Linked DNA regions of Lytechinus pictus. The protein of the gene in region 1 interacts with the protein of each later gene in a pairwise test. Links are inferred from orthologs where the notes say so. Each region holds a gene or a part of one and is shown on either strand. Other genes may lie near its edges.

Region 1 (3,760 bases):
TGAAATATGTATAATTTAAAAAAATAAAATAAAATACAAAAGAAATAGTGAGTGAGGGACATCATCAACTCTCTCATTTGTATGTTATAAATGCTCTGTGAAAAAAGGGAAAATCATAAATCCGATTTTGATAACTGCTTACGGTTGTCAAGCTCCATAGTATTCAACTTTTATGCGGTTCATCGGTACATGCAAAGACCTCGGATCATCGACACCGGTCTGCATGGTATCCGACGGTCCCGGGGGGGGGGGGGGCAGTCAAATGTATTGCTGTACACATGCGTGACCAAATTATTTCCAAACACCCCTTAACGATTTTTTTTCTCTGTGTGCAAAATAACCCCCTAAACAAGTTTTTGCGGGCTTTATTTACACATTTTGGTCCCTATAAAACAAGTTGTCGCGTTGACAGCGAGGTGACAAATTTCACGACCGTTTTCCCGTTTCCCAGGCCCGTTGCAGGGTCGTTGCTTAGTAGGGAAGAACCCGAACATTTATCAGAAACGAGGAGGAAAAAGCCCCGGTGAAAAGTGGGGGGAAAGGCTTGGATGGACCTATCGAAATCAATGCACAAGAGATTCACATGATCAAACACACTAAACAATTAATCATTTCTAAAAGCACCTTTTTGCAGACATTAACATATCTCACTACTAAAAAGTAATCGAAGCATGAGTAAAAAAGGGCTTCTTTGTACAGACCTATCGACTATTAGAAGGGATGTAGTTACCATTTGATCCTCATCTTGAAGAATCTTCTTCCCAATTAACCTTTCTTCCTCTTCTTTTTTTTTCTCCCCATTTTTTGCGTCGCCAATGACGGGGGGGGGGGGGGGCTGATCCGCCGGCTTTGGAATAGAACTTCCCCTATGTAGGAGGTCCGAGGTGTAGCAAGTGTGTAAAGTTGAGTATGAAACTGCTGAAGGGAAAGGGTAATCTGCACTTCCATTTTAAGAAATGGCAAATTGATAGGCCTACATGAATAATGCTAAGTTAGTAAGTGGTATAAGAATTTTTTTTTCATCTCTACATTATTCCTTGTCTTTACGTGCAAAACTTACATTTTTATGCCATTCAAATTTGTTATCATGTTCTTCCATTGTTTTAGAAGTTTTAACTAAAGACAAAAAGAAAAACAAATATTCATCTCGGCATTTGAAAAAAACAGTAGGCCTACAATGATTGGCGCAAATATTTGGCGGCATATGCCTACATTTTCTGGGAACTTTCTATCTCACGGTGCGGACTGAGAAAAGATAGTTCCAATTTCTGGAATGTCGCCATCTACGGTTTATCTTTGTTTACTATACCGGTAATGATTTCGCTGAACCAATTACACGATGCCCGTCTCGACTTGTCCCTCATCTGTGCGGAGGCAACGGCTAGCGCTTGCTCTCGCATGGTCATTGTTCGGCTCATCTGGAGCAGAGCTGACCCCTTCCGCACGAAGCCTCGCAGCGCTAGCGAAGTAGTGGATCGGCGAATTGCTCCTACTAGCTGCTCGAATGAATGAGGACCAAAACAATATGGACGAGGACGATGTAGTTGTGTGGGAATGGTTTTCCGACCACGGACGATGGCGAGCTTACGATCCGTCCGTGGTCGTCGAATTGGAAGCGGCATATGGCAGAGAGACCACCCTGGCACTGGCGGATGTTGACCCAGCCTTGTCATCTTATGAAATAGATTTTTCAGCCATGCAACAGTATCGGACCACGTCAGGTTAGCCGGGTTGTTTATCATGTTTTTTGTTATTGTTAATCTGTTGATGTTTGACGCTAATAATGAATGGTAGATCTGCGACTGAGTGCGAGTAGCCTGGAGGCGTCTGGGGAGTGAAAGACATATACTGTACGTATGGTCCCTCCCCTAACGCCTGGGAGCCTAAGCTATATTCCCACACGCACGGGTACAAAACCTGAAACTTTCGCCCCCGAGATTTCTACTTTCCCTCTAAAAGATCTAGCCCTAAAACATGTACATGGAGTTAAACTCCATTCCCAACATTTCTGCGATATTGATTACATTTTTAAAGAAGAATTCATGAAAAAAAACGAAGAAAATGTTATGAAAAGATGAGAGAGCTTACGGCCGTGTTTACGTCGCCATCTTGATTTCTTTGTCTTCCGCTTGGCGACAGCACGCAATCAGCACGCGATTGCGTGCTGTCGCCAAGCGGAAGACAAAGAAATCAAGATGGCGACGTAAACACGGCCGTAAGCTCTCTCATCTTTTCATAACATTTTCCTCGTTTTTTTTCATGAATTCTTCTTTAAAAATGTAATCAATATCGCAGAAATGTTGGGAATGGAGTTTAACTCCATGTACATGTTTTAGGGCTAGATCTTTTAGAGGGAAAGTAGAAATCTCGGGGGCGAAAGTTTCAGGTTTTGTACCCGTGCGTGTGGGAATATAGCTTAGGCTCCCAGGCGTTAGGGGAGGGACCATACGTACAGTATATGTCTTTCACTCCCCAGACGCCTCCAGGCTAAGTGCGAGTGCAAGTTTCATATCTATCAACTCCAAATTCATGGGAACCGGCGGGTATAACGTTAGATCAAGTAACATGCCCAAGATTCGACATGTTAACATGGTTAAAACCGATAAGCTTTTCTGAAATATCAGATCATGCTGAATATTTGTTTTGTTCCAAAATTTCTTTTCACAAACCTGACAAAGTGAATTGCACCAATGTTTGTGACGTGAATAGTGTAGATCTACATACCATACATTACCTCGAGCGAAGTTCGTGCAGGCTCCACTCCACTTCACTACCGCTACACTATGCTCCACCTACCCGAACTTCGAGACCATGAACTCAATCGGATATTCCGAGTGACAAAAGGTGGGATTTTATGGGGAGAAAATACAAAATTCATGCAACATCACGATCTTTAAAAACAAGTACAACTAATATTCTTACTTTACACAAAGTTTCACTTCTTTTCCATGCTTCTATGAGTCTCAAAATTGATGATTTAGAGCCAACACGTAATAATTCGCTGCCGATTTAAGAACATTGCATGCGCGCGAGGGTCCGAGCTCGGACCAGACGGACCAGACCCGGTACCTCCCGCACGCGATGTTTTGAAGTCGGCAGCGCATTAATATTTATACGTGTGAGGAACTTCATATTGGCTCTAAATCATCAATTTTGAGACTGATAGAAGCATGGAAAAGAAGTGAAACTTTGTGTAAAGTAAGAATATTAGTTGTACTTGTTTTTAAAGATCGTGATGTTGCATGAATTTTGTATTTTCTCCCCATAAAATCCCATCTTTTGTCACTCGGAATATCCGATCGAGTTCATGGTCTCGAAGTTCGGGTAGGTGGAGCGTAGTGTAGCGGTAGTGAAGTGGAGTGGAGCCTGCACGAACTTCGCTCGAGGTAACCGTACATGTACTAATACTATGTAGACTCACTCATTCAATGAACAAGGTTATGATATAACCTTGTTCTCAGTTACATCTCCATGTGTGGCAAAATAAGGGTGGCAATGTTTGGCTTATTTTCTCTTTTTCGTTCGGACAAAATACAAATGCTTGATTTTTTTACACTGACAGTTTCCATTACACCTATTCATCATACAAGTTATGTAAGTGCATGTCAGACAAAAAATTGCTTATAAACAGGATTTTGTGTGCAAAGTCAATGCAAATTATGTTGTCAACCAAAAATCATAAATGTATGAATATTTTTAGTTTTGCTGGTCTAAATGTATTTATGTTATGCTTTTTATGATCTCAGAAGAGTCCCCAACA
Region 2 (3,760 bases), on another chromosome or scaffold:
TTTTTTTCTTTTCTTCTTCTTCTTCTTTTTCTTCTTCTTTACTGTCTCTCTCCTTCTAGATAATCTGCCTACTTCACTACTGGAATTCTTGCTAATGTCAGGACACGCGTGTCGAAGTGTGTATTTGTGGGTGTGTGTGCGCGAGTGCGGTGTTTCCGTGTGAGTGGTAATCGGATGTTTGGATGTGCAGGTGAAACATTTCCATCGCGCAAGTACAAACAACCAAAAAAAAAGATCAAAATTATACTGTACAAAAGAAAAGGAAAGAGTAAATCCCCTTCATCTCTTTCCTATTCTGCATGCATGCTAATGGCTTCAACCCAACGACAGTCACCTCGATAATATTCACAAATGATTTTTGTTAGAACAGGAAATTGACAGGAAATCAACGGCATCAAATTTACCAGTTGTCCTCTCAAACGTCATTTCGAGTGCATTCAAGTGTAGGTAACGCCTCTTCACTCATATTAGCTTGCACTCGTCATGTTTTCCCCTTCATTTTGAATTTATTTTTAGATAGTCAAGAAACAGAATTCAAGTCAATGCTTTCTCTAAACCCATGTTCTTGTCTATATCCCCGTGTATACTCACAGTATCTTTAATAATGAACAAAATAATCAAAGAAAAGCCGAAGAAGTGAATTTACCTGTTCATTTAATTTTTTTTGAAGGATAAATGGAAAGTAGTGAAAGTGAAATTTTCTTCAGCTATTCTTAGATTAATTTATTCATTATTTCCTATCCTTGACGGAGAACACATTACCGTTAAATATATCTACTGTATATGTCTACCTATCTAACTCCAATCTTTCTACTTGTCTATTAATTATATCAATGAATATATATACATATATATATATATATATACATGTGTAAAGTTATACATGTACAACAGCATTGGCAACTCTTTTTATTTAAATATTGTAAAGAAATGGATGAAGAGAACAATGGTAGGCGTAGCTTAAATCATGGACCTATGAAGAGATGGACATTCATCGCTTAGATAATGAATTCACTAACAGGTGACGGTAATTGTCATCTGAATAACATTCTCTTCATACTAGTCTTCTTTGGTCCTATGATCGTCACCGTGAGAAGGGACTGAATTAGTTCGTGATTGGACATTTATATTTCACAAATTATATGCGCAGTTGATAGAAAATCAATGAAATAATGGATAATCGATGTGCAGTTTTTGTTTACCTTTGTTAATCTTAGTTCCATGTGTTTTATTTGGGGAAATGTCTGCATATTTTAATATAGAGGCAATATCGTGATTGTTTACCATTTAAAATTCAATTTTCCCAAGTTTCTCCATAATATTCCAGATATACGTGGCACATAACATGTGTAGATCGTGTATCTTTCAATGTTATTGAGGTCCTTATGTGTGAGCGGTAGTTAGCGGATCGAATAATATCATATTTTATATCATAAAAATCGTCTGCTTCTCAAGTTTGCTGATCCATATATGAAGCATATTGACTGAAAGGCACATACTGAAACAGGGGATCAGCCAACAAAAATCAAGACCGGGAAACTGTTCCGTCTTTGAGTGATCAGATACCCTTGGTAGTCATGGTAATTGCTATTGTTATAACACCTGTATGTTCTCATTAAGATGCGCATAACCAGGTGACGGTGACTATCATTGGGTCAAAGAAATGCTCGCGTTAATCGTCCATCTTTTCATAGGTCCATGCTTAAATCAAGGTTCCCCAGAGCTCTCTACCCTTTGGAAAAATTGGTGATGCCGAAAAAATGTCCCTGCCGGGAATCGAACCCGGGCCCCCAGCTTTGAACGCCGGTGCCTTAACCACTAGACCACAGAGACGGGTTAGTGGCTAGGGCGACCCCAATCCGATTGACCGTCAGCTAGACATATTTTCGACACTATACCAATTATAATTTCCTTTGTCGGGTGAAGGTGGGTTTTTAACAATGACAAACCGCCATGCCTCAGCTGGATCAAAGCTATTGCTTTGATACAGTACACGTATGGGAGAATGTATACAAATGTGTAAAGTTATACATGTACAACAGTATTGGCAACTCTTTTTATTTAAATATTGTAAAGAAATGGATGAAGAGAACAATGGTAGGCGTAGCTTAAATCAAGGTTCCCCAGAGCTCTCTTTCCTTATATATATATATATATATATATATATATATATATGTATGTATCCATTAAGATCCATTTGAAAAATAATTTTTGAAAAGCACTCGGTCATTTTATGATGAAACACCAAGCTTCTAAACACATCAAAGGTAATAGGTTTCTAAAGATGAAAAAATGAATTTAAAAAATGGGGGAAAATATATTAGTTGGGAGATCTAATCTATTATGAATCAATTTAAAACATGTTCCTTTTACCACGATTTGGATGTTGCAAGTGAATAATGGGTTTATTTGCATGAATATAAAGTTAAAAGGGGCCAGTATATATCCCTGAGGTACATCCATTATCAAAGGCAATAGAATATGAGATAAGAATCCTTTGACACGCAGTGTTAATCATCGTGTTCATTTAGATTGGTCCGACTATAACATGCTTGCCAACATGGAAATCTGCAAAAGCGGTAGACACAGCAAGGGTCTGGGTGGGGATGGGGGATTCCCCCCTTACTGGATCAGGGATTTTTTTACATCCACGGTTATCCTTTATAAAATGTTCAGAAACAAATCGGAATCTGATTTTCAGTTCTATTCTGTTAATTCATTTCCACTTTGAATATAGCTGATTAGTCATTGTTTCTTTAATGGTTAGATTTACTTCTCGAATACAAAAAAAATAAATAAATAAATCAAAATAAAAATAAATTAACTTGATTTGCCTACCTTGTTCCACTTTTGCCTTTAGACCCTGCTGACATGTTGCTCTTAATTCTGGCGGATTCGGAGATAAAATGAAGAGTGGTCTCAGGTATTGCCAAGATGAATCTGTATCAGGCTCGTTCGGAGTTTCCTGTTACAAAGGGCGTAAATGTCAACACAATGAACAAGGTTAATAGAGATGTAAGATGTGAACAAATAGGTCTGGGGTGGTAATATATCGCATGGATTTGATGGAATGATCGAGGAAGATAAAAATATCTTCAACGGATAGGGATGAACAAAAGATATGAAAACGAAAGCGAGCGAAAAGGTTGGGGGAGGGAAAGAGAAAATTAGAGGAGAGAAAAGAGGGAGCAAGGGAGAGAGGGAGGGAGAGAGTGGGGTTCGAGGGGGAAAGTGAAAAAGAGAGTGACAGAAAGAGAATGTATGATGGTGTGTATGCGTGTGTGGGTGTGTATGTTAGTGAGAGAGAGAGTGGGAGATATTGAATAAATGTGTGTTTGTGTGAGAGTGGAGAGAAAGAGAGGGGTAGAGAAAGTGGTAAGGGTGGTGTGTGTTTGTGTGTGGGTGTGTGTGAGAGAGAGAGGGGGAGAGATGGAGGGAGGGGGAGAGAGAGGGAGAATATAATTTGTGCGTGTGTGTGTGTGTATGAGAGAGAGGGGGGAGAGGGAGGGGAGAGAGGGAGAATATAATTTGTGTGTGTGTGTGTATGAGAGAGAGAGGGAGGGAGAGAGAGAGAGAGAGAGAGATGTGTGATGGAGAAAATATATTTTCAAGAACAAAATTAATAAGCAAAGGGGATTCTGCATCGTTATTTGATTAATAAAAACCCGTCGCTCTACCCATCAAGTGTTGCCATGTCAACCGAAAGAGTCTGTCTCTATTAATATATAGAGTATAGCACTATGTTTACATGCAACCAGCA

The links.
Region 2: the proteins of E3 ubiquitin-protein ligase DTX1-like (region 1) and beta-arrestin-1-like interact in a two-hybrid assay, tested with the Drosophila melanogaster proteins (2 studies listed by BioGRID). The link is inferred for Lytechinus pictus from reciprocal best matches to the Drosophila melanogaster genes dx and krz.

Annotation. Positions count from the first base shown.
Region 1 is NC_087246.1:30,365,833-30,369,592, forward strand, and holds the start of E3 ubiquitin-protein ligase DTX1-like, read left to right. Parts: upstream 1-1,525; coding exon 1,526-1,716; intron 1,717-3,760.
Region 2 is NC_087260.1:3,961,439-3,965,198, forward strand, and holds the start of beta-arrestin-1-like, read right to left. Parts: upstream 2,874-3,760; coding exon 2,839-2,873; intron 1-2,838.